7 linked regions of the Oryzias latipes genome follow. The protein of the gene in region 3 interacts with the protein of the main gene of each other region in a pairwise test. Links are inferred from orthologs where the notes say so. Each region holds a gene or a part of one and is shown on either strand. Other genes may lie near its edges. The genes, in order: lmo2, c4h19orf25, rint1, dcx, rbm41, sfr1 and sgf29.

Region 1 (4,227 bases), on a different chromosome or scaffold from region 3:
CTTGAAATATGTTTAATTTGGCAAAGTGTCAAATTATATATTCTATTATGTGAAACAACAAGTTTTAGTTAATTCTGTGTTTGCGACAGTGCCATACATTATCTCACCCATCAGGGACAGAGAGGCAACAGTCAATTGAACTGATCCATTTAAAACTTTAAGAAACCTCATGTTTTAGTCTCCGTTAGTCTGTTAAATTAGTTTAGCAGTGATGTTTTTCTGTGGACTCACATGTTTGCTTATATGTTTTTCAACAGTTCCTAGGAAAGCTAAATGTCAAATGCTTTGACATTTGTCAAATGCTCTTAGTCTTTCACAACCTCTTGTAGTGAAAGAGATCAAGTTAATAGTAGTAATAAAAAGTTAGCTTTTTCTGGGGTGTTTTTTTTTGTGTGTCTCTTTCGGGGTCACGGGGCTGCCGGAGCCTATCCCGGCCACTTGTGGGCAAAGGCAGGGGACATCTTTATATGCGCTGGCCTTTATTAAATAAATAAATATAAATAAATATAAATATAAATCCTGGACAGGTCGCCAGTCAGTTGCAGGGCCTCAATCACACACTCACACCTAGGGGCAATTTAGAGTAACCAATGAAATGTTTATGATGTGGGAGGAAGCCGGAGTCCGGAGAGAAAACCCACGCATGCATGGGAAAAACATGCAAACTCCACACAGAAAGGTCCCCCATTGGTGTTCTGTTTCAGGTCCCCCAGCCGGGACTTGAACTGGGGGCCCTTCTTGCTGCAACCAAGAGCACTAACCACTGTTCCCCCCCAAAAGGGTAGTTACAGTTCTGATAAATTTATTTTCATCTTTATGTTACCCTCACTTAATCAAAAATATAATATAGTAAAGTAACTCAGATGGTCTGGCAATTGTTTTTTCTTTAATGTCATAACCAGGGCTCTGTAGATCAGCTTCTCTGCAGCAAGATCTTGTTCTCCTGTTTTTCCAATTCTGTACAGTAATGATGCCACATTTATTTAACACAACATTAACCGAATAGGGGATAATTCCGATAAAGCAAAAAATAAAGTTCAGAAAAAATATGGTTTTGAGATAAAATATGACACATGTAAACATCTGATTCTATATAGCAAATTACACCTTTAATCCACATTTTATACTAAATTGAATGAAAATATATTATGAATTGTCACCCCCCCCCCCCCCCATTTCACACATTATATATTAAACATTTTAATAAACAGTTCAAACTGTTTGTTGGGTTTTTTCACTATTTACTTTCTATTGAACTGTTTTTCGTTTTGGATCCAGCTCTCTGTTCTGTCCTAATAACTTTCTCTACATGATGATGGAGCTGCGGGCCAGGACACTTGTCTGCTGACATCACGACGTTGGTTATCTTTGCTCCATCAGCGCCTCAGGGGGAGAGAATTTCCCCTCACGTCAGTGTCGGTCACGACTCCGCTCCACGCCTGACAGAGCAGCCGGCGCGAACTTCTGTCGCTTTAAGACCGATTTCCCCCCATTGTCAGGCAGTCGTGAACAGGAAAAAGAGCAGTCAGTCACAGAATGGGGTGGGGGGTCATCCGCACGTTTAAGGCAGCTCCAGTCTAACCCCCCCTGGCCTGTGAGCGAATCCGCGGTGTCCTGGATGGCGTGGAGGTGCCAGCGCGCGCGTCAGCCCCAGGAAATGATGACAGCGTCCTCCATCGCCGCTCTGCTGACTAGAACAATCGGCCTTTTTGGTTATTCCTCCGCGAACATCTCGACTGAAGTCATCTTCCTGAATCAGGTCGTGCAGGGGGGATCTGGGCGCCGGTAGAGGCAGGTGCAGCGGCTGCGCAGGAGCTTCCCGGGACGCCGCAGAGAGACTAGAGGCTGTGGAGTCCGAACCCCGGAGCTGAGGCGCAGCGCATCTGGAGAAGAATGGTATCCACCATAGAGAGGAAGACGCTGGAGGCCAGCGAGTATGTGCTTTCCTTTTCCAAAGAATGAAGCTCAGGGTTCCTTAAGGCTTTCAAGGACATTGTCATCACAATTTAGAAAGCAACCAAACGGCACGTTATTTTAGGAAAGCAACCTCTGCAGTTAGATTCCACAAACAGAAGGTCTGGAATATGCAAAAGGCTTAGTAAAAAAACTAATCTTCAGGAAAAAACACACTAGACAGCAGTACAATTAACTATGCAGAACGTTAGTTTTACTTAAGAAATCTTATAGCAAAAAACATAATAAAATAAAATCTTGAAACAAGAAGTTCCACAGTAGCATTCTAAAAGGGGGAAAAATGGGTTAAAAAATCTAACTATTAGAGAGAATTACTGAAAACTGATTGTTTTAAAGCCCAATAAGTATTTTTTGTCATAGTTTGAGGCAAATGGTTTGTATTTTTTTTAAACTAATTGCAGTTCATCTTAATTGCAGTGCCAAAAAAACGAGTGTAATAAATGGAAATGACTTATTTTAGAACAAAATGTGAACAAAACCAGAATACGATCTAGCACATTTACTTAGAACATAAATCTAAATGTTTGTTTTGAAATTTAATGACAATAAATGGCAGTCTACATTTAATAAACTAAAAAATAACATCCTAACTGAACCATAAAACACAACAATTTCAGTGCATTTGAGTCATATATTAAGTTTTTATTCTGTTAAGATTTGGAGCAAAATGATTTTGACTCAATTTATTAATAATTTCCTTATTTCTACATACTAGTTCCTAATGAGACATAGGAATGTTTTCCACTGTACAGATTTTAAGAAAATCTTGGAAAGGTGTAGAGCAAAAGACAAATAAAAACAATTTCCAACCAGTTAAAATATCTTGAAAGTCTAAAACCAAGGTTTACAATCAAGTATCTATAAGTATCCCATAGTTTGTAGTGTGAGAAAGGGGAGCAAACAATCTTGTAACAGTACAAAAAAACAAATTGTATTGTATACACTTTCCAAATGTATTAATTTAGTATTTTAATCTGAAATATGCTCCTTCTCCAACCTTGCAGCTCCAAGCTACAAGACAAAAACATAAATAGTAGCATAAACCTTTGCAAATCAGTTGATAAAGATAGAATTTATCGGGGCACTAATAATGACATTTTATAGAATATGTTACTTTCAAAAGAAAATTGTATCAATTGGATAAAATGTGTTTGTTTTTTTTGAGCTAAGAGGAAAATCAAATTAAATTACAATAAATGAAGACTATGATCGATCTTCAGGGAATTCATAGATGATGAAAGTTCAATCCAGTTGTTTTTAATCTTCTTTTCATTTATATCAGGGAGCCGGTGGACGAAGTCCTGCAAATGCCCCCCTCCCTGCTGACATGTGGAGGTTGTCAGCAGAACATCGGGGACAGGTTCTTCCTGAAAGCCATCGAGCAATACTGGCACGAGGACTGCCTGAGCTGCGACCTGTGCGGCTGTCGTCTCGGAGAGGTGGGCCGTCGCCTCTACTACAAGTTGGGAAGAAAACTATGTCGACGGGATTATCTGAGGTTGGTCTGATGTCAATGATTATCTGTTTATTCCCTTATTTGAACAATTTATAAGAAGTATGCAGATCTAATGGGATATTAGGGGAGCACTGTCTTTTATTCTGGTGAGTCAGTTGAATGGAGATGCTGGAATGTCTTCTTGTAACATTGTCTTCCTTATCGATCATGCTCCACTCAGGCTGTTTGGTCAGGACGGTCTGTGTGCTTCCTGTGAAAAGAGGATCCGGGCGTTTGAGATGACTATGCGTGTGCGAGACAAGGTCTACCATCTGGAGTGTTTCAAATGCGCCGCCTGCCAGAAGCACTTCTGTGTGGGTGATCGCTACCTTCTCATCAACTCGGACATTGTCTGTGAGCAGGACATCTTCGAGTGGACTAAGCTCAACAACAGCAATATGGTGTAGCAGAATCTCTGACTGCTTTTCAGGATGGGATGGAACAAACCAATATCGCGTGGGCTCTGAACAGAATCCCTTTTTGCAGCCCGTATGGGTTTTATCGACCAACACATCGGGACTACAATGAACACAATGTAGTGTTGCACCATCCTGTGGAAATAACAACACCAGCAATACGAAAATATTCCCAAATGCAAAAAACGTTTTAAGTACGAAAAATTCTTAAATATGCAAAGAATAGTTTTGAACTTTGTAGAAAAAACAAAACAAACTTTGTTTTAAGGTTGTAAGTTGTTTTTGTCAGGCCTTCATATCTACAAGTGGATTCAAAACTTTAATTAGAAACTGGGTTGTAAT
Region 2 (3,465 bases), on a different chromosome or scaffold from region 3:
ATGTCTAAAACATCCGTCTGAGCTGTTTCTTCCTCAGCAGATGCAGTAAAATGACTGTAAATGGACAAACGTGAGTAAAAGCAACACTTTAGCAGCTTGAACTTGTCATGACAAATAGATTAACAAACGTCTGCAGCTCTTCACCGCCGCTGTTAACTGCCTCGTTCAAGACAGGACGGGATCAAAGTTTGTAGCCGAGTCAAATTCCCACCTGTAAGTGTACCAGGCCACATTGGTCACTCATTTGAAAAAGACAGGTTGTGTCATTATAAATGCCATCATCTAATAAAAGTGGTGTTTTCTTAAAACCATTGTGTTGGGCTTTTATTTTATCAAACACCCAGGTTACTTTTTTTTTTACACCATTTCTTCTCCAACCCAAACAACTATAAGGTTCTAGAAGGCTTCTGTAAAGGTGTTTCCATGAAAACACAGATTGTTCTACAAAATGTTTTATAAAAACAAATTTTTTCAAAATAAATGAATAAAATATCTACAAATTAATTAGTTCCATTTTTATTTCTTGTCTCTGTTTTAACACGATAGCATTAAAAATCAAAAAGTAGATTCTGTTTTCTTGTGTTCAGAAAAATTACTACAAGTAGATTAAATAAAACAGAAATGAAAACCCTAAACCTTCTGTACATTCACTTGAAAACAATTGTTGAGAACCTGGGTTAATATATTAAAAAAACAAAAAAAAAAAGCTCATATCAGCTTTATGAATATAGCAGCCCAAACAAGTACACACTGACACAGCTGAATTCCTCTGCGACTGGAGAAGGGATGCAGAAAGTCGCGATTCAGCCTAAGGAACATTTCCCTTTTTCCAGTTACTCTTCAAGATTGATTCATTTCTTGAACTGATAATGACTTTCCCATTCCAAACCACTCATTTTCAGCTTGTTGGCACCGCAGTAACAGTTCAGTATTCAGTTCGGGATTATAGAACTTGGCCTTTGACCTCAGCCACCTTGCTGTCCAGCCGCTCCCCTGCCGCCTGCAGCTCCCCCCTCTGCGTCTGGAGCTGACCCTGAGCATGTTTCAGGCTCTCATTGAGCTTCAGATACTGCCGGCACTGCTGGAACCTGAACTCCACCTCGCTGTCTGCAGGCAGGGTCGGATCTAGAGGCCGAAAAGCACACAACAAACATTCACTCAAACATTAAAATCAAAGTCCCATCATTCGCAGGCAAAATAAAGTGGTCAACTTTATTTTGGGGGACAAAGACTCGCCTTCTCCAGTTTTCTCCAAGATGCTGAAGACTGGGTCATTTGGAGCTGCTCTGCTGATGTCCTCCAGGATCTGATCCACACTGGGGGGTTCGGGGCGGGTGGGCAGCACCACCCGTTTTTTGCCTTTCGATCCGAGGTTCATTACAACAAAACTGACTCCAACTTCTGAAATACAAACCAAGATGTTCTGCAAGAAATACCCTCAAAATGTACATTTATACAGAACCTCTGCATTAATCAGAAATTTCTTTTATGATCTGCTTAGTATCAATAAGTCTGTAGATAATTAATTTAAACATGTAGCATTTCTTTATTTGTGCTTATTCTTCTTAAAGAGCTGCAGAGGTACTGGAACTGAGTTTCCCATTGTTGGGATTAATAAAGTTCGTCCATTCATTTATTCATCAGTGTGGAGCCACCAGATAGGTTTTTAGTGATGTGATGAGGCTAAATAGCAGCCAGAAATCGTTCACAGCCGAAACAGTGTTTAAAATTGCAGAAAGAACTGAGAAAGTTCTGCAAGTTTTTGCATATTAAAACTTCGAAAATATTTTTAAGGATTTAATTTCAGATACAGGGAAACCAGCATTAGGCTAATCTGCTGACAAATATAAACAGCGACGAGTAATTAATCTGAAAGACACGTTTAAGAACCACAACGATGAAAAAGTTTCTCAGTCGATATTTTCAAAACATTTACATTTTTAATAAGAAAAGAATGGCGTAAAGTTATACGTTATGCATTTTGTAAGAGGTTTTAGTTGTATCAGAAAAATGGTCTAAAACAAACTCGGGATTAGTTTCAAAAGTAAAGATTTTAAAGCCTTACCGAGACGGATGCAACTGTTGTCAATTTCGGTCCCTCAACTGCATCTTGGGTCTCAAAACTGGCGTGATATGTGCACAAATATCAACAAGAGCCGAACATGAACGCGTCACGTCAACAGTGAGCACCCCCAGCGCATGCGCAGGCTCTCGCAAACTGACATCCGGTGCCAACCATCCTTGAGGTGCATTGTCTCCCCCTTCAGGTTTGGAGTGGCACCTGCACCAAGAACTGAGCTTTTTTGTTATATAAATAAATAAATAAATAAATAAATAAATAAATAAATAAATAAATAAATAAATAAATAAATAAATAAATAAATAAATAAATAAATAAATAAATAATATGATTCATGTTGGTAAATTTAATTGAAATAATAAACAGAAAGATGAAGTCAGTAAGGAAAAGTATTAATGTCACAATAAAGTTCACATAGTTTGTAGTTTATATTTAGTATATTTAGTATATTTCATAAATAATTTGAAATGTAGTTTTAGATTGAAACCTTTTTGCGAAACTTCAAATTTAGCAAGCTAATGTAGCAAACTGGCAAACTACAAAACGATCTGCGGGTGGTGCTAAAGATTACCCCCATAAAAGAAAAAGTCCTGAGGCCAAATAAAAAACAGCAGATAAAGCAATTCTAAGGGTCATTTAATTTTTTATTCATTTAATTCCTCTTTATTATTCATTTAATTCCTCTTCATTTCAAAAAAAGTGAGCAAGTACAAAGACTTTTTTTTAAGTTGCACTTGCGTGAAAATATTGGTGAATAAAAAGTAAACATTTATTTGCTCTGAATCCTGGATTTGAAAAGAAATTAAATAGGCCAGATAAGGTAGACAAATGAAATATTCATCTATCTCCTTGTCCAGCTTTATCCTGTGGTGAGTCATTGAGGGGGCTGGAGCCTATCCCAGCTTCCTTTGGTTTGGGAGGGGGGCAAATAACCTGGAAATGTTGAGGGGTTCATTTAGGCTGCCACACTCAATCCTATGCTCAGAAAAATGCTGCAACTCCACAACAAAAGAAGAAAGCTGGGATTTGAACCAGACACTTTTTGCAGCACAAATAACTACATGCAGAATTTGAATTTCTTCTCAAATCACGTAAGCAAGACAAAAACATCTAGAGATCACACCCACCTTAAAAGTGTGTCGTACTCTGCAATATCTAAAGAAACAAAACATTTCTGAAAAATGTTCGATTTTGACAACATTCTGCAACAAAAACCTGTAAGCAGCAACAAAAACAACACTTCAAAAGGACAGAGTTCACATAGTTTTGTTTTAATCAGAACGTTTTGAATTCTAAGATTGTTTTCATCAAGATGGAACAAGTAAAAATGTAACAACAGAGATTCTCTACATCCTTAAGGTAGATGGTGATCTTTAACAAGTTTC
Region 3 (3,500 bases):
ATTCTTTTTTTGTTTTTTATAGTGAAACAAAACTGATTTCAAAATAGAAATAAAAAAATTAAAGTAAACGTTTTTAAACTGAATCTGAATTGAAATAGTGAAATTTGTCTTTTTGCTTTTACTTTAATCTGTTTTAATCGTTTCATTTCCAAACCAGTTTTTCCTTTAAAAAAAGTGTTTTAGAGTTTAAAACTACACAAAAGTGGAACTACAATGATTATAATCAGCATTATATCCATTTAGAAAAACCAAGATTTATTTGCTGCAATATTTGAAGAAAAAGCATCAAATCAATGTTGATATTGTTTTAAATCTATATTGCATCCTGTCTTTAGATAAATTACAACTTAAAGTATTTTGCATTTCAGGTCACTGTGATCTTTTTTCAGGCTGCTCCAGCCACCGTTTAGTCAGGAACACCTGAGAACTCACTCTTCTTCTCCACAGCGAGCCACTTCTGCAGGACGGCGTCCTCCAGCAGGATGTGCAGCAGTCCAGGGAGGGCAGAGGGGTAGGAATGACTGCCTCGAAGCTCCTTCTCAAACTGCAGCACCTCCTCCACCAGGTGGCAGAAGAGGGCATCATCATACAGGATTCTGGGAGCATCAGCAGCCACCTTCTCCTGGACCAGAGACACCAGGCCGCGACACAACTCCACCTGCAAACACACACGCACACAGGTTAGAGTGCACACAAACACACACAGGAGTACACCCGCATACATACAAGTGTGTATGTCCACACACCAACGAAGTTCTTTATACACACACACAGGTGTGCAGACACACAAATACCGGTGAACACACACAGGTGACACCAGGCCGCAACACAACTCCACCTGCAAACACCCACTTACACACACAGGTTAGATAACACATATTTATGCAAAGGACTGCACACACAAACACCCACACATAGAAGTGTTTTTTCCCAAAACATAAACGAAGGTCTGTACACACACAGCAGTGCAGACTCACAAACACAGGTTCACACACACAGGTAGTTGGCACACATTCATACACGCAAGTGAGTATGCACAAAAACTCAAGTCAGATGCACACAAACAAAGGTGCATGCACACGCAGGTGTATGCACACACACACACCGGTGTTAACACACACAGGTGCACCCCAACACATTCAGGTGCACACACACAAAAACACACACACACACACACAAACACAAAAAAACCTAGGTGCAAAAACACACACACACACAGGTGTTTTCCCATACAAACACACGCAAGTGAGTACACACACGCGTGTGCACACAGAAACGCTCTCACAGGTGAGGTTTAGCTTAATATTACTAGGTGAGAGAAGTGAACTGTGTGAGTTTTTGTGTTTCACAAAAGCTCAGTCACATCTACAGGTGATCCACACAAAAGCGACAGACAAACCCACAAGCACAACAATCAGCAGCATTCATGAACACACAAAGCACACACAGCTGAAACAACAGGGCGACATTGTACAGTTTTAACCTGCTTTACAAACCAAAAACCAACAAATAGGCCTCACCTTTACTTAACAAAGAGCTAAAAGCCAGAAAGACTCCTAACACTCAGAAACTCTAACCTAAAATCCAGTCAGTTTTCTCTTCAAAAATGTTCATGCTGCATTTTATGCTCCAACACAAACAGGAGACTGAAGACAACCATGAAAATGTACTAAAATGTAATAATATTAACAAGACAACAAAGACAGACGTATGGTAGCATTATTGTTCCTGCAGTAATTTTGACTGTTCAAGTTGAATCATCTCACTGACTGAGGATAAAAGCAACATCTTCATGAACGTGTCTCTGTTTGGGGAACTTCGTACCCTGGCGCTGATGGCGGCTCCGGCTCGGTCAAACACGGGTTGGATCTTCTCCTCCATGAAGGCTGCGCTGCTGCCCATCCAGATCAGAGCCTGTGTGAGGTACCATTCTGGCTGAGGAGGGACACAAACACAGTACGAGGTTTTTACAACTTTCAATTTGAACCAATGAACACCCTCGCCCTGTCTAGAAGGAGACCCCCCCCACCCCACCCCCCGCCCTGTATGACTGAACTCTTTTCTGCCACTTGCATTAGCGTCCCTCATAAATGAAACCCCATTGACACGATGGGTTGAATATTTACAGACTCGTGCTCTTTTCCTGGGAGCTGACGTCTTTTGGAAGCTCTCTCTGTTATTCATCTCCCGTCTCCGTTAAATCTGCTCTGGGTGGTGTGTGAACACAATCCCAGCAGGAGGTTTTAGTGCAGATACCTTGTTGAGGGAGTTCGTCTGCCGGTTTCCATAGAAGTGGTATCGGAACCTCTTGCAGATTGGCAGCAGCATGATCTGAACAGGCAGACAGACGGAGACGGCCAGAGGTGGAGGTGGAGGTGGAGACGAGACCTGCACAGGCTGGTGAGAGGTTCTCTGCGAAATGAAGTCGTCACTGCGGTGAAAGTTAAAGAAACGAGCCGGACAATCCTGATCTTTCAAGTGACAACCTTTATGACGATCAACACGTCTCCTAACTGACTAAATGCAAACATAAAACCGTATTTGGTGGGTGTCCATTTTTAAGGAGAAGGCAGGCGTGTAAAGTTGTAGTAACTACAGAGGAATAAAACTGAAAAGTTACGAGAAAACGTAGGGCTGAAATGCGTCTTTGCAGATGTAGAGAAAGTCTACGACAGGATCTACAGAGAGGATTTCCATGAGGAAGTCTCGAGGGACAGAAGAATGTTAGGGTCGTGCAAGACAGCGGTGAGATGTTCTGTAGGTGTTACAAAGGACTTAAGGAGGAGGTGTAAGGGCACCATCTTCGTGTTTCCATGGTGATGTAAACCATGGACTGGACCACCGCCAGAATCCATCTTAAGCTGGAGCCACATCTATCACACAACACATCCCAGTTCATATAAGCAGAAACACCCCCGGCTCAGAACCACCAGCTTCACAGTCAGATATCTCTGTCACATTCACACCTTACCGGATAAAAAAGATGAAAAAGTCCATCTGCAGTCACACATAATTTTCACCTTTGCTGTTTAAAACATTTGCTCTCTTTTAAATAAATCTTTTATTGTGAATGAGCTCATCTTAGATAACAACTTAGATTGCCTTTTTTTTACTGAAACCTGGCTTGGTACTGATGCTCCTGTTGTTCTCACTGAGGCTTCCCCACTAAAATTTACTTTTTATTTTCTACCAGGGGAGATAAAAACAGGGGGCACACTAATTACCTATGGTCTGTAGTGTGTCCTCTGTTGTTGACATGCCTGTTTCAGATCACTATTGCGTATTCTTTAATATCACTAGTTTTACTCGACATGAAGCTCCAGAGAGAACTGTGAGGAAACGATACATAACTCCTGATGTGGCTGCAAATTTGATCAATATTTTACACCAAACTCCCGCTCAGATTTTACCTGCATTGTATGATTGAACATTTTAACAACAAACTACAGTCAGACATTGATGCTGTAATTCCACCTGAGTCAAAGACGGTGAAAACTAAA
Region 4 (3,500 bases), on a different chromosome or scaffold from region 3:
GCAAAATGAACAATGACAAAGCATTGTGTGCTTTTAGCCTAGTTCACTTGCTGAAAAAGAGCTCCGTCAATGAAATTATCCAAAAGTCATTTTCTACATGTATGTTATTTCCAACATTAAGCAACAGCTCTTACCCTATGCCACAACATTTACTTTAAATCTGAACTCCAAGTCTGCTGTGGCTGCCAAAACTTGCCAAAAATTAAACAAAGAATTGGAGCGTCTACACTCAGTTACCGCTTTATTAGGCACACCTGTCCAACTGCTCGTTAACACAAATTTTGAATCAGCCAATCACATGGGAGCAACTCATTGCATTTATGCATGTAGACACGGTTAAGATGATCTGCTGCAGTTTATACAAAGCTTAAGAATAGGGAAGAAAAGTGATTTAAGTGACTGAAACTGGCATGGTTGTTGGTGCCAAACAGCCTGTTCTGAATATTTCAGAAACTGCTGATCTACTGGGATTTTCACCCACAACCATCTCTAGGGTTTACAGAGAATGGTCACAAAAAAAAAGAGAAAATAACCTGTTAGCAGCAGTTCTGTGGGCAGAAATGCCGTATTGATGACAGAGGTCAGAGGAGAATCGTCAGACTGGTTCCAGCTGATAGAAAGACAACAGTAACTCAAATAACCACTGATTACAACTGAACTCTGCAGAAGAGCATCTCTGAATACACAACATGTCCAACCTTGAAATGGGCTGCAGCAGAAGACCACACCAGGGTCTCACTTCTGACAGCTAAGAACCAGAAACTGAGGCTACAATTCACACAGGCTCATTGGACAAACGTTGCCTGATCTGATGAGTATTTTTCCTGACCAAGCCCATCCCTTTATGACCCCAGTGTACCATCTTCTGATGGCTACTTCCAGCAGGATAACACGCCATGTCATAAAGCTGGAATTATCTCAGACTGGTTTCTTGAACATGACAATGAGTTCACTGTCTTCAAATGACCTCCAGTAGTGAGATGTGGTGGAACGGAAGATTGGCGTCATGGATGTGCAGACAACAAATTTGTAGCAACTGTGTGATGCAAGTTAAACATGTCTATTAGCTAAACACCCAAAAAAGTGTTTAACTTTACATGTAGGTCCAGCTATGCAGTTAAATGCCTACAGTGTCAAACAGCCAAAGAAGTGATTGATGTCCAGAACCACAAGAGACTCCTGTTGCAGTCTCAAAGGATGTAGACAATGAGATTTTCATGAACAAAGGTGTCTCAACAGTGTTCCCATTGACCTGCCACATCACTGTTGACTGAGGTTAACAGCAAACAGCGGCTCCTTTTTTACATATGTGGCCTTTTCCCTTTGCATTTACAGGTACCTAGTTTTCCATTTATTCTAATACTTGCCTGTCCTTTGTCCAGTAATCATTTATGAATTGTCCACAATCCCAGCAACATTTTTCCTTTGAAGCTGTTATGTTTACATGCTGTTTAAACCCAGCTTTATTTCCGTCTCCAAATAACAAAAAAAGCCTTTTAAATATAACCAAATCGATCAGCAGCTTCACACATCTTTCACCATGATTTGACAGGTAGGACTTACCTGTTTACCATCCAGTGTGTAGATCCTCTTGACTGCACCACTTTCAAGCTTGATGGCCTCTGTGATGTCAGTGAGCACCTGCTCAAAGGAGTGCGCCGTCTTCTTGTTGAGCAGGACACGGACAGCTTTGCGTGGCTTGACGCCGCTGCGCATCACTGTGACCAGCTTGGGCCGAACAAACTCCTTGTTTTCTCTGGGCTCGCTGGCAGCCTTGGCTGCTAAAGACTGCATGTTCTTCTGGCTTGCTGAGGCCTTCACATTCACAGACCAGTTGGGGTTGACATTCTTTGTGTAATCGACTTTCTTATAGAAGTTCTCTGAAGCACAAACATAGCTCTCCCCTGTGGTAAACATAATGGGTTAGTGTTGTAACTCAATCAGCTATTTGACACCAGAAACACTAAGCAACTTTTGACCTTTGGAGATACCAGTTAACCCAGAAGGGAAAAGAATTTTTATTTTATTTTATTTTTTTAATTAAATTTTATTACATTTTTTATTCTTCAAACTAAAATCGATTTTGCCTACAAAGTAGTTTTCAGTACAATAATAGGTTCAGATAAACCCAACCATTTTTGTTCCTTTGTTCAAAAAGTTTGTTCTCTCAGTAGTAGGCAGTGAAAGATTATAGATCATGGTACGTACACACAGGGCATGTGTGCGCTGAACAGGCATTCTTGAACATGCTTTAAGCATATCCTGTTCACACAGCTCTGTTGCAACCCAATACTCGCACATGTACTCACAGTTGGAAGAGACTTTGCGCAAAATATCGACGCTGTGCAAGTCTTGCTTCAGGTTTTTTCTTTCACAGCTCAATTCCGACATATGACAGACTGTCGTATAATTCCAGTCAAGCACAAACTGTAATTATTAATTTCTCCTCCATGATCGATTTTCAACCAATTGGCCGTTCTGTGTTTTGAAAAGAATCGTACTCGTACATCATCACCAAGTGCATCACTACTTAAAAACATAAGCAGTGACATGTGAACACTAGAGTTTTGAACGTGGAAGCTCAAAACGTGCATGTGCGTGAGTTTTTCATAAACTTCATTGGAAGCAGTTGCTCAAAAGCGCATTTCCAAGCCTGGTGTGAACGTAGCATCAAGAATAGATGTAAAATCTAGTACCTAATCACTTTGTTGGCTAGATACAGCTTTACAAATAACTTCATTGCATGCAAGTTTGTACTTTATGTTTTTCAGCATCATAGTTAATAAAGAACTATTCAAAAAAAATAATTCAACAAGCTAAGTCAACTCTTCAAACACTGCAAGAGAATTTTTGGCTGCTGAAACGGCTCCAAACAGAATAACTCAAAACCTTACAGTCCCATTTACGATACAAGAGTCTTTGAACAGATAATGTAAAAAACGTTTGTGTTCCATTGCAAAGTGCTAACCTTCTTCCAGCTCATCCAGGGTAGAGATCTTGCGGGATCCATCGATAGTAAAGATGAACCGGACGCCTTGTGGTAAATTGATGTGGTCAGAGAGGGAGCGCGTGAGGTCGGCAAGGAGAGAGTCAAAGGAGCGAAACCGGTCACTGGCCACGGCGTACACGATGCCCTTAAAGTAGCGGTCACCGTTGCGGTAGAAGCGCACCTTTTTGGCCTTCTTCTCATTGGTGAGAGCCTGCAGGGTGCGTGTGCGGTAAAAGCTGCAGTGGGCGCTGTGGGTTGGACTGGGAAGACCATTCATCCGGCCACCTCGAGGTGTACGAGAGGCCTTGTCCCTCTCATCAAAATGGCCAAAGTCTAACTCCATGATGGCTGACAGCTGTGATGGTTTAGACAGATGTGAGGCAGTGAAGAGCAGCGCCAGAGAGTCTGCAAGACGAATGAAATATTTAACAAAAATGTTATTTACTTAAGCTAGTTACTGATAATTACACATCTTCGTACATTAGAGTACCCTTTTTCATTATGTGCAGAA
Region 5 (3,500 bases), on a different chromosome or scaffold from region 3:
AAAGACAAGTTTGTTATTGAGGGAATTTCCTGAATGTAAATGTAGAAAGATGCTTTCATAAATACACAGAAAAATAACAAAATCATTTCTTTAAAAACATTTATTCACAGATAAAGTCATCCATAGGACCCCCCCCCCCCACCACCACAAATGATATTTGAGTCATAATAGAAGATAAAACAGTGAAAACTGCTTAACATGTTGAAATATTTCCTTTTTGTGTTTTTATTGCTTCTCCTCCGTCTTCTCTTCCTGTCGTTCATGGCCAAACTCGACCACCAAAGGTTTCCCTAGCAACCGGTATCCATGGACCAAGTGCAGTGCATGCTGGGCTGTCTCGGTGTCTGCCGGGGGAAAACAAACACAGAGGAGCGCCGATTGAGTCACGAGGAAGGGTCACACACATCAAGAAAGTTCTGCTCGGTTCTGGTCACTGTGGTCCGGAGTGAAGGACGTTTTTCTGCATTAGCTTTGGGGTTAAAATGTTCACACTGTGAACCTTTTAGACAAAAATGGTTTGATTCCTGACATGAACTGATGGGACTTTGGCGCCATTGTGGCCCCGCCTTTCAGAAAGGGGACAAACAAAACCCCCGACCGTTGCAGGACCGCGCCTGGTAACGCCGTTCTAGAAGGAGTGATTAGAGGGCCGTCCGTCCGTCCACTGAAAGCCACGGAAATTCTACGGTTTGAAATGAAAAGTGGTTCCTAAAACGTTCCTGCCGGTCCAGCTGTGGTGGAGGTTTCATCTCACTTCAGAGGGGAGAAAATTTCTGGAATCCGGCTGCAGTTAAGTCCAGATTTGTCGTGAATTTCAACCGTTACAGGCAGACGGCCAACCTGAAAGGCCCCCTAGTGGGTGAACTGATGTCACGACAATTAGTTTGGTTATAAAGTCAGGAAGTCCGACTCAGTTTTTTTTACATCTAATGCATCTAATCCATTAGCACAGTGCAATGCCGGGGGGGGGGGGGGGGGGGGGGACGCAGTAGTGGCAGTTTTATGCACGGATAACACGGGCAATTGTACGGGGCGCAAATTTAATGGGGGGGGGGGGGGGGGGGGGGGGACAGCGGCAAGAATCTGGTCCACTATTGGTTTCCTATTATCTGTTCTATCACAGAGTTTGTAACGGCCTGAAAGCTGTGAATCCCCGTCCCTGCAGCTGCGTGTTCCCGTCTCCTGTCACACGCGTGTGTGAGAGAGAGAGGGGAGGGGCAGTGGGCTAAGGCTGCAAGGTGACACGGGGCACGTGGAGAGCTGCAAACACTGCCTGTTGCCCAACACCAGGATCATGGTGTGCCTTTAGATTCCTAAGCTTATTCTAATAACTTCATTCTTTATGAACTATTGTAGACATTTTGATGGCGTGTCTTTATTTTCCATCAATGTATCTTTGTCTGCCTGTGGTTTAGTTGGTGTCAGTATTTGACATAAAGACAGCAGGTAATGCAGGAAAACAGCTGCACTTTATGAGATCATGAATGAACAATCATCATTTAGAAAAATAATCAGCACAATTGTTTTAACCTTTTTTTTCAGACTAAAAATATTAAATATATTAATGCTGCTGTGTTCATGATTCAGATCAATTTACATTTAATATTTTGTATTGACTGAAATATTTTCTCAGCATCAAATAGTTCAGTTGGTCAAAATGTTTCCAGTTTAAATAAGGACATAACTAATAATAATAATAATAAATAAATAATAACAGATTTTTTTTATTTCAGGCACTTTAGGCTTCTTTTCTGTTTTAGACTAAAAAAGAGTTTCTGTGGATAAATAAATTTAATATTTGTTGAAAGTGGATTTTTCTTTTGTTAGTTAAAAGATACAATTTAGGTATACTTACACAGTTTTTATAGATACTAACCTAATATATTGTCACCACGGCGAGTGTGTGTGTGTGTTTGTGGTGGGGGGAGGTTATGGGGGGGGTGGCGGGTTAGAGGGGCGCGAAACATTTTCTTTTTCCTGGGGGGGGGGGGGGGGGGGGCTTGGCAAAAATCAATTGAGAAGCACTGGATTAGCAGAATAAAGAAAAAAGAGCTGCAAACAAAGCAGCCACAAGGGGGCACAGTCCAACACCTTCATGCAGCGGCCCCCAGGACCAGGTGAAAGCAGGGAGACGCGTCAGGAACCAGAGCAGACTTTAACGGATGTCTGAGTGAAGGCAACAGGTGAAGAGGAAGTGAGGGAGAAGTTTGGAGTTCATGACAGACGGTAGTGGACGCTGCTGAATGAATGGAAATGCCAGTGGTGAGGAGGAGGAGGAGGAGGAGGAAGGAGAGCACACGGAAAGATCGCATCATGTGCAGACGCTGGAATCCGAAAGTGGAGGTTTGCTCCGGAGAGGAGAGGAATGAAGGTCAGCCGCTGGGGGACGGCGTGAGAGGAACGCCAGAGGAATGGTGAGGTTACAGCGAGCAGAGGCGGAGGAGGTGGAGGACTCTGAGGATCAACAGCCCAGAAGGAGGTGAGGAGGTGCAGGAAGGTTTCAGGTGTGACCAAAGCAAAGGAGGCGGAGATGAAGAGGCGGAGGTTCTGTTTGGGACCAGGATGGATCCTTGAATCCATCAGAGGAACAGATCACGGATGTTCTGGAAATCCATGCAGGGAAGCAGATGGAGGCGGTTTGAGAGGAGGACCGGGGAGGAGGATGATGGGGAAAGAGAGGAAGAACACAGAGGAGGGTCATGGATGTGGAGGAGAGGGTTAGATGGAGGTGGCGCCCCTAAAGGGAGGAGCCACATGACCTCACACCATCACTGGGCTCCTGGCAGAAAAAAGCAAGAACTTTGGAGAAAAGTTCTGTAGTTCCCGTCACTGTTAGAGCCAATCATAAACTAAATGAAGCAGTGAGAGAGTGTATTACTGAAGTAAATGGGAGCTCCACAAACTCCTATTTAAAGTATTTGACATCCTATTGTTGCATCATTTTCCATAGTGAAGCTTGGTTTCTGCCTCTGCAGCTCTGGCGGGGAAGTCACCCGACCGACGCTCGCCGCAGACGCTCACCTGGCAGAGTGACGAAAGCTTGACCTTTCATCCGACCCGTCAGCAGGCGGTAAAGGATTGGCGCGGCGTCTTTCTTCTCAAATCTGGAGAACAGCGCCACCAGCTGGGCCAGCGATGCATGTGTGCTGACGTTTTTCACACACAGAACCTGCAACCAAAACCCAAGCTCTTAATCTGCTCACGTTTCCATCTCAAACCTGCAGAACCACCTCTTTTTTTTTGACTGCGTCACTTTAAAGTTTGTAGAATTAGAAGCTTTTAAAAGTTGCATATTTCAAATCTATCGCTAAAATTCCTCGAGTCGGTCTTTGCAAACAAACTCCAGAGTTTTTGAGGTGTGTGGAGGAAATTTGTTTCCCTTTTTGCAGAGTTGTTTGAATCCAGTGACACTGACTTTCCAGCAGAAACCACAGTTTGAGGTCATCAAAGAACGAACCAATCAGATGAAAGTCAACATTTGATCTAGAAATCTGCAAAGC
Region 6 (3,974 bases), on a different chromosome or scaffold from region 3:
ATGCCACGGTTAATGCCGACTTCACAAAGCAAAAATTACACGCAAAAAACATTAACTTACACAAATAGCAATTACCCTTCCCTCAGTTGTCCTTACAAGGAGTATTAAAAAAAATCTCTTGTTCCCTGGGGTGTGTAATATCACACTGCCAAATGAGTTGCTAATGTTCGTGTCCGGGCACAACCACATTTGAAGGTATAACAGCTTTCTCCTCGTGGCTATAAAGGCTGACACACAATAAGAGAACCATCCCACATTTGTGAGAAGATTAAAATAGCTATAGACTTATAAAACCGATGAATCAGCTAATGAGGGAAGGTGAATCACAACATGAATCAACTCCAGATAACCACCACACAAAAAAATCTCTTTAACAATATTCTGAATTTTGGAGCAAAACACTCTTTCCCATTGCTATGGTAGTTGTTTTGCCTGACTTGATTATTAAACTACTTAAATTATAATTATTTAAATGTGTCTTATGTAAACACAAATAGTTTACCAACAATTTTTTAATTTTATTAAAAATATGTATTGATCAAATTTCATAAGAAGAAACAAGCTACTTAATCCCATGTGTGAAAAAACTTCCTTTGTGTTTTTTTATAAAAAAATGTTGTTTTCTCCATGAAGCAATTCATCAAAAAAAGAAAATTCTGTTCATTAACATATTTTTACAGGGCAATAGACATGACATTCAAATAAATAAATAAAAACTGTTCCTTCAAACTAACAATTTGTGCACACAAATTCGAATTTTTTTATTGCGTTCACACAAATTTGCATCTCGTGACCAAAATTTTGCTTTTTATTAACATTTTGTAGGCAAAAGTTACTGTTTTGTGAACACAAATAATTCAAATTACTGTACTAGCCAAATTTGTTGGCTTAGAAATTGTGTGTGCACAAATTAGCAGGCTATTATGTAGGCCTATGAATTAATTAGAATTTTGTGCCAACAAATAAGTATACTGTGGACACAGAATGCTTATAAATTACAAATTAATTGCCCAAAAAAATGCTAAATTGTGTGCACACAAAAAAATTTAAGGCCACATATTATTTTGTTTCTCTTTTTTTCATATTTTTTTTATATATATGTACATTTAAATATGATGTTTAAGTAAAATTATTCCATCTTAAAGCCAACAAGTTAAATGTGCGACTGCGTTTGAGGAATAACTTCATATCCCAGAATCCTCTTCGGCTAAACGTAATCAGTTTCTGTCCAATCATTGATCTTCAGGACTTAGAACCGCAAAAATACGGAAAAACAAGATCAACTGTGGTGTCATCGCCTCAGCTTAATTTTTCCACATGGAAATGTCTTTGATAAAAATTCAATATGGTTTATAATACTTTGTTATAGTGCCTCTAATTTTTTTCGTTCTTATTTCAGCCGAGTCAGATATATTGAGCGTTTTCTCAACTTTAAGCTAGGCTATTCTCGCAGCTAAACAGACTTTTCATGCTAAATCTGACGGATGGAAGTCACTCCAAAACACGAGTATTCATCACCCTGCTGCCCAGAAGAGTCGACCCCCTCGGGATACAGAGAAGAGAAAGTAGGTGACTGAATGGGATGTGTGGTGCACTACATACGACGTAGTGTTAGGTCCACCATGAAAGAAAAAGTCTAAAGAGACGCCGAGGGGAAAATTTTACGGCAATAAAGTTATGCAATTATGAGTAAAAAAAATAGCTCTTAAGTTGTAAATTTATGCTTCAAAAAGTCTACATCTTATAAGTAAAAAGTCACGCGTGTTGAAATTAAAATGTTACATTTTAGATTTTTTAAATCATGTCATAGCGAATTAATCGATTTTTTTTTGTAAATGTACAACTTTATTTTCGAAAAAGTACGACTTTTTCATGTAAATGTATAATTTTTTTAAATCATAATTTTACATATTTTTTAGTTATATAATGTAGATTTTTTTTTTCTAATATTTGTATGACTTTATTCTTGTAAAATGTTAACTTTTTTCTCTTTTTATGCTGGCCTTAATACTCCATCTGTGATTTTTTTTTCTTTTCCCCTCGTATCATCCTAGTGTTTTTCAAAGCTCAGCACTTCGCTGAGGGAAAGATTGAAAAGATCCAGACGCTCCTTTGTTTCTCCTGTCTCTGTGGCCAAACGCCTTTGTGTGGACGATGCAGAGGATGAAGGGCCACACATGTCAGCAGACTCCAAGGAGGCTGTCAGGCAGCCTGCAGAAATCCCACTCAATGACAACAAAAGGGAAGCCCAGTCAGGCAGTGAGCAGACGCCTGAAGCTTTTTTACAGCACCTCAGGAAAGAAGTCAAAGAAAAAACAGAGACTCTACGTCGACTCAAGATGGTAAAGATGTACAGAAGCAAGGTACCAGCCATTTTTCAAACATCTTCAGGGGATCACCGTTTTGCTTTGCCGTAACACTTTTCTGGTCTTTCCCCCTAGAATGATTTAACCCAGCTTCAAACTTTGATCGACAAGTGGAGGCGTTGCTCCCAGAACGCGCTGTATGAACTCCAGTCAGATGTCACTGTGGACGGACGAAGGGCGAATCTGTCTGAGCTTATAGACCTCTTTGGTTTGGACGATCACTTTCTGCACTTTGACCGCCCGGAGGAGGACTTCACTACTTAACATGTTTTTTTTTTTGTTTCTGTTTTTTTTTATTTTACGACTTAAGTACCAGCAGATTAAGTGGTTCTTAATCACTTTATTTGTTGCAGGTTCTTCACAGCAAAAGCACATTTAATGTACAGAGAACTTTTTGCTCAGTTAAGAAACAAAAAAAAATGTTTCACTCAGCTGTATTTCAGCTGATAGACTGAAGTGAAGTTCTTCTTCGTTAGACGTTCAACTTCCGCTAAAAGGACTGTCAGTTCCTCAGCCTGAGCTTTGACTAGAGCCTTCAAGTTGCTTTTCACAGCAAGCTCCAGGTGCCGCTCTTTGGCTTTTGCTTGCTCTTGTTCAGGGCCTAAACAACCAAAATAAAAGCAGATAAATATTTATGCTTGTCTGGGATGACGGAATCGGCGTTTGGCGAATGTTTGTCGATCAGAAACCAACCTGCAGCTTCAGAGACGTGTCTCAGCTGCGCCACGTCCACCCGTATGTCAGGAAGCTGCAGCTCCAGAGTAGAAGTCTTTTTGCTTTTCACGTCAGCTTGTTTATAAAGCTGCTCGATTTCCTTCACACACTGCTGGATGCACTGTTGATGAGCCTGAAAAAGTAAACAGAGTTGTTCATAAAAAAAGCATAAAAAGGCTGGTTTATCGTTGCTTTGTCACTTTTCATGTCACCTCCGTCATGAAAGCAAGGTTTTTCTCCAACATGGACGCTTTCTGTGAAATGCGAGTGCCTTGTTCTGACTCGCTGTAACGCTGGAAATAAAAAAAGAGAAACGCATTAATTAAAAACAGTGTTTCATACATTTTTGCTTCTCCCTTCTTCTCAAATGTTCAATAAAGGCTTTTGAAACACATGCAGCAAAGCTATTTGTCATGCAATGTAAAACCTCACTCTGCCTAGATCTATCTACATTCAAAATTTCTCTCATGGGGTTCAAACAATGTCAGGAAGGCGAACGCTGCACAGCTGCTGAGCTACCTGTACCTGCTGCCAAAGAAAACTGGCAATGCAGCCTGGAAACTTACCATTTTACCCTCTGGGTTGTTAAAAAATAAAGCCAAAAATTAGTTAGTTGGTCTGTTTTTGTGTTTGTCCTCAAACTTTCAAAACTATTTTTAACTTTTAGACTGTGTCCAAAAGCTACATATCGTCAAATAAATTGTCTTATATTTGATTAAACAAACCAATCTGTCAGATTTTGAAAAAATGATATAAAAGAAAGTGACATGCCTACTGAAAGAGGTTTAAGTTCAGCAAATGAAGGGGGAAAAAACCCTGAGTCAATTAAAAAGGGTGTGAGTCTCCTATAAAAGATCATTCATCTGCACTGGGAGATGGGAACAATTTTCTGTT
Region 7 (3,975 bases), on a different chromosome or scaffold from region 3:
GAAGCGCTCAGAGCCTGGTCCGGCTGCTCTTACTTTTGTTCTCTGTCTGCATCCTCTCGTGGGTTTTCTGTATGTTGAGCAGGTTGTGTTCGCTGCGAGACCGCTCCTCCTGAAAACACAAACATCACAGGAGCGCCAAGGTCCAAAACCGTTTCAGAGGAACACCGGTTCTTCTCCAAAGCCCGGAGCCGTTTTAAAAAAAAACTTTATTTGTATTAGTTTTTGTTACATGAAAACAAAAAACAAAGGTCAATTCTAGGTGCTTCTTGTTTCTATTTGTTGTAAAGTGTTTCAGTGTCATCGTGCCTCCTGCAGTCTCAGTCTGTATCTTATAGTTTCTGTTGAATAGAAGTGGTTCTTCGTTAAAGTCCATTGCTCCTTTGATCGATTTAGTGCTCCAGTTCCTGGTTAATGATTTTTTAGCGGCTAGTGACAGAACTTTAAGTATTTGTCACTTTGGTGGACAGAGTTTCCAGAGATCATGTCCAAAAAAAACAGTTCTGGTTCCAGAGGAATTGGATATCCCACCCAGCATCACACATAAATCCATGAGACTGGTCCACATTCACACCAACAGCTCTGACTTGTTTTTAACTGTTTGTTTTTCAGTTTAGGTGTAATAAAAAATCCTATAAGGTTCTCCGGGCGAACTGTCTCCATGTTCATGATCCAGTGATGGGATGTTGGTGTCTCCACGTCTAACCAGTCCTGCTCAGTTATCTTTATGTTGAATTCTTTTTCAGTATTGCTGCTTTTTCCACATCTATACTTCAGAGAACTGTTCTTCTACGTTCTCTTTGGCCTCTTTTTCCAAGATTCAAGTTTTATTGCCGTTTGCACATGCGGTACATCGGAATTTTTCTTTGGCATCTCTCATGTCAGGATAAGTTAAAAAAGGACAAAAGAAAAATTTGAAGAAGAAATAATAAAGAAAATAAAAATAAATAGAATAAAGTTAAAAGTCAAAATTAGACAACAAATTTACATGGTGTATAAAAATATAAATATCAGTAAAATATGATAATGAATATTGCAGAGACCCAATCTGTACAGTAGCATTATTGCACATAGAATTATTGCACATATTATTGTTTATTGCACTTAGTAATTTAGTCCAGTCTTTCCTCTCTGGTGTCATTTGCCAGCATTCTGATTGCTGTTGGGAAGAAGCTGTTGTGGAAGCGTGTGGCGTGTTCATGGATGCTTTCAGGCCTGCGACGCCTGAGGTTGTGCCCTAAGTCCACACACTGGATCAGTCCATGAGCAGGGTGGTGTCTGTCTCTGATGATCTTAGTCACTCTCCTCCTGCAGCTCTGTTTGTAGATGGTGTCCATGGATGGTAGGTTGCAACCTATAATTTTTCCAGCTGTATTAATGACTCTCTGCAGCATCTTCTTCTCTTTGAAGGTGGTGTTACCGAACCAGGCTGTTAGTCCGCTGGTGAGGATGCTTTCCGCTTTCAGTTATATGCAAGCTTCTCCTGATGTTATCGTGTGTCTGCAGACTCTTCATGAATCCTGTCTGGTCTTCATCAAGAAGGTCAGGTAGAAATGTATTTATCCTGATACAAATGATGGATGTATAGATTTAGTAATCTATAATTAGCACATGACTGTTTGTTTTCCCCGGTTTTAAGATAACTGAAATAATTGCTTCTGACCAGGAAATAAGGATTTTATTCTTTGGAGGGTCCAGTTCAGAGATCTGTGTAAAAATGGAATAAGTGTGTTTTTAAATGTTTTATAACATTCAGCTAGGAAGCCGTTGCTGCCTGGTGATTTATTGTTTTCAGAGTGTTTATGGTTTTTAATATTTCCTCTTTTGTATTTTCAGCTGTGAGTATTTTTTAATAAATGGTAGATCTATATTTTTCAAAAAGTTTCTTTGATCTTGGTCACACGCTTAGAGAGGCTGGTTGTCCAGTTTTCTGGAGCAGGTTTGTTAGAAGAAACACAGAAACAGTCTGAACTGTAGAATATACCTCTCAGTTGCTGCCAGCACTTGTACCAGAACCAGGGAACCGGTTTAGGACTGATACTGGTTTCTGATCAGATCTACAGGTGATTCACAAACCCAACAGCTTCCCTTTAATCTGGAGTTACCTGAGGCTTTCATCAAGTCTACAGCCTCAACATCTCCTTGAGTGTCCAAATCATGCAGACCTGCGTTTGTTTACCTTCTCCAGGTGTCTGATGACGTCAGCTGTCGGAGCACGGCGGTTTTTAAGGCTCACCTGTGTCTGTTTGATGAGCTGATGGAGCTCCGTTAGCAGCTCTGCGATCTTCGTGTCTGCAGACATCTCTCACCTGTAAAAAAAAATAAAGGAAGAAAAAAACCTCACCTAAAAACGCGGCTGACACACAATTATCAATATTTGTTTAAATCTCTACAGGATGAACGATTATTATGCGAGAGTCTCAGATAAAACTGCATTTTCCGTTAAAATGGACACTTACGTTATTTGAAATCGAAAATGGACCAGAATAAATCCTAAAAATAAAAAAAAATCCTAAACGACTACGTCACACTTAGCATCGAAGCGTTAGCTGTGCTCGTTTGCAGCTATTTCCCCCCTAAATTAATTAAATTATTCCAAAGTTTATAAATAATTAACTTCGTCATTAAGTTTAGAAACACAAAAATGTCTAAATTATTGAAAAGATTCTGTCATTTAAACTCACCGTCAGCGATCGGTTTCTGTTTACTGTAGATATGCTAACTGCGGATTAGCCTCAGCTTCTTCTTCGTTGTTGAGGGTTCCCTGACTGACGCGCAGACGCCCCCACCTGCTGGTCAGACGTGGTACTGCACGCGCTCGAACGAGCTTCTCCCTCATTTGTTCTGGCTCACATGACCAGTTTAGAAATTGATTATATAGTTTCAAAGTGGAAATAACATTTTAAGTATTTTAAGTGATTGTATGCATTTATGTGATTCTCTATATATATATATTTTATATACATTATTGACTCCTGGCCTGAGGTTTCTTTAGTTTCTGGAACAGACACCTGCAGAATGCAGACTAGACTTACATCCTTGAATGACATAAGAGTCTTATGACCCATTTAGTATGTTTACATGTTGTCTTTCTGCTTTGGAGAAGAGAGAGGGCGGAGAACGACGAAGCGTCAAATAGTTTTCAGTTGTTCAGGTGGATCTAGACGGGTCATGTGATGGAAATGTCAACAATGATCATCAGAAAGGTGGATAGGGTCCCATGACTTGATCCTTGTCTAACAGGTGGGGGCTGTTAGTTTATTGTTGGTATATGGCTTGGCCATGTCATGAGAGTGGATGCAGGCTGCATCCCTAAAGACCTCTATGGCGAGCTGGTCAAAGGCTATAGAACAAGAGGGCGTCCAAAACAAAAACGTCTGGAGGACACGAGGCGGCGCTTCATTGAACCCAACACATGGGAAAGTCCAGCAGACGATCGCCCCATCTGGAGACTCAGTCAGGCAGGGAACAACAGATGCAGAGGCCAAGCGGAACGAGAATGCTGCACAGAGAAGAACCAGGAGGAAGCGGCGGCTGCAAGAGCCATCATCCTTCACCTGTACCAGGTGTGGCAGGGACTGCCATTCCACAATCTACCTGCACAGCCATTCCCGGCGGTGCAGGTAGATTCAACAAGGAGCTACACCATCGTCTCTCCAGACGGACGGCTGCAGACGATGGACGGATTCTCCAAGAAGACATTTTTTCACAGGATGCAGAATGAAAATCACATGTGATTTTACTACAAAGCGTTTGATGTGAAGATCAGAAACGGATCAGGAATCGGACCAACCAGCAGTTTCCTCAGACCGCCATTAAAATGTGGTTTACAGACCGTCCCCTCATTCTGTGAATGCAGACTCATGAGTCTAGTTATGGAGGACGGCGTCATCGTTTTATTCAGGGACCCCCCCAGTGACAGACAGACAGCAGTTCATTTAAAAAACACCTTTAATAGTAAAAAATGAAAAAGACTTT

What was found.
Region 1: the proteins of rint1 (region 3) and lmo2 interact in binary tests that used the Homo sapiens proteins (3 or more experiments, as listed by UniProt). The two-hybrid records come from large-scale screens. The link is inferred for Oryzias latipes from reciprocal best matches to the Homo sapiens genes RINT1 and LMO2.
Region 2: the proteins of rint1 (region 3) and c4h19orf25 interact in binary tests that used the Homo sapiens proteins (3 or more experiments, as listed by UniProt). The link is inferred for Oryzias latipes from reciprocal best matches to the Homo sapiens genes RINT1 and C19orf25.
Region 4: the proteins of rint1 (region 3) and dcx interact in binary tests that used the Homo sapiens proteins (3 or more experiments, as listed by UniProt). The two-hybrid records come from large-scale screens. The link is inferred for Oryzias latipes from reciprocal best matches to the Homo sapiens genes RINT1 and DCX.
Region 5: the proteins of rint1 (region 3) and rbm41 interact in binary tests that used the Homo sapiens proteins (3 or more experiments, as listed by UniProt). The two-hybrid records come from large-scale screens. The link is inferred for Oryzias latipes from reciprocal best matches to the Homo sapiens genes RINT1 and RBM41.
Region 6: the proteins of rint1 (region 3) and sfr1 interact in binary tests that used the Homo sapiens proteins (3 or more experiments, as listed by UniProt). The two-hybrid records come from large-scale screens. The link is inferred for Oryzias latipes from reciprocal best matches to the Homo sapiens genes RINT1 and SFR1.
Region 7: the proteins of rint1 (region 3) and sgf29 interact in binary tests that used the Homo sapiens proteins (3 or more experiments, as listed by UniProt). The two-hybrid records come from large-scale screens. The link is inferred for Oryzias latipes from reciprocal best matches to the Homo sapiens genes RINT1 and SGF29.

Annotation. Positions count from the first base shown.
Region 1 is NC_019864.2:14,855,688-14,859,914, reverse strand, and holds the start of lmo2 (rhombotin-2), read left to right. Parts: upstream 1-1,427; 5' UTR 1,428-1,893; coding exon 1,894-1,934; intron 1,935-3,256; coding exon 3,257-3,472; intron 3,473-3,650; coding exon 3,651-3,876; 3' UTR 3,877-4,227. UniProt on the Homo sapiens protein: Acts with TAL1/SCL to regulate red blood cell development. Also acts with LDB1 to maintain erythroid precursors in an immature state.
Region 2 is NC_019862.2:22,306,367-22,309,831, reverse strand, and holds c4h19orf25 (UPF0449 protein C19orf25 homolog), read right to left. Parts: upstream 2,225-3,465; 5' UTR 2,066-2,224; intron 1,402-2,065; 5' UTR 1,379-1,401; coding exon 1,237-1,378; intron 1,126-1,236; coding exon 944-1,125; 3' UTR 501-943; downstream 1-500.
Region 3 is NC_019881.2:11,295,945-11,299,444, reverse strand, and holds part of rint1 (RAD50-interacting protein 1), read right to left. Parts: intron 2,432-3,500; coding exon 2,257-2,431; intron 1,936-2,256; coding exon 1,825-1,935; intron 659-1,824; coding exon 433-658; intron 1-432. UniProt on the Homo sapiens protein: Involved in regulation of membrane traffic between the Golgi and the endoplasmic reticulum (ER); the function is proposed to depend on its association in the NRZ complex which is believed to play a role in SNARE assembly at the ER.
Region 4 is NC_019872.2:14,750,330-14,753,829, forward strand, and holds part of dcx (neuronal migration protein doublecortin), read right to left. Parts: intron 3,395-3,500; 5' UTR 3,333-3,394; coding exon 2,969-3,332; intron 1,905-2,968; coding exon 1,564-1,904; intron 1-1,563. UniProt on the Homo sapiens protein: Microtubule-associated protein required for initial steps of neuronal dispersion and cortex lamination during cerebral cortex development. May act by competing with the putative neuronal protein kinase DCLK1 in binding to a target protein.
Region 5 is NC_019872.2:28,310,418-28,313,917, forward strand, and holds the end of rbm41 (RNA-binding protein 41), read right to left. Parts: intron 3,170-3,500; coding exon 3,022-3,169; intron 345-3,021; coding exon 226-344; 3' UTR 194-225; downstream 1-193. UniProt on the Homo sapiens protein: May bind RNA.
Region 6 is NC_019873.2:20,002,453-20,006,426, forward strand, and holds sfr1 (swi5-dependent recombination DNA repair protein 1 homolog), read left to right. Parts: upstream 1-1,229; 5' UTR 1,230-1,484; coding exon 1,485-1,565; intron 1,566-2,054; coding exon 2,055-2,363; intron 2,364-2,441; coding exon 2,442-2,630; 3' UTR 2,631-2,794; coding exon of another isoform or gene 2,795-2,967; 3' UTR 2,968-3,059; coding exon of another isoform or gene 3,060-3,213; 3' UTR 3,214-3,292; coding exon of another isoform or gene 3,293-3,373; 3' UTR 3,374-3,474; downstream 3,475-3,974. Other genes in the region: cfap43 (cilia- and flagella-associated protein 43), read right to left, coding at 2,795-2,967, 3,060-3,213, 3,293-3,373. UniProt on the Homo sapiens protein: Component of the SWI5-SFR1 complex, a complex required for double-strand break repair via homologous recombination. Acts as a transcriptional modulator for ESR1.
Region 7 is NC_019866.2:654,406-658,380, reverse strand, and holds the start of sgf29 (SAGA-associated factor 29), read right to left. Parts: upstream 2,801-3,975; 5' UTR 2,682-2,800; exon of another isoform or gene 2,457-2,681; intron 2,307-2,456; 5' UTR 2,300-2,306; coding exon 2,234-2,299; intron 110-2,233; coding exon 34-109; intron 1-33. UniProt on the Homo sapiens protein: Chromatin reader component of some histone acetyltransferase (HAT) SAGA-type complexes like the TFTC-HAT, ATAC or STAGA complexes.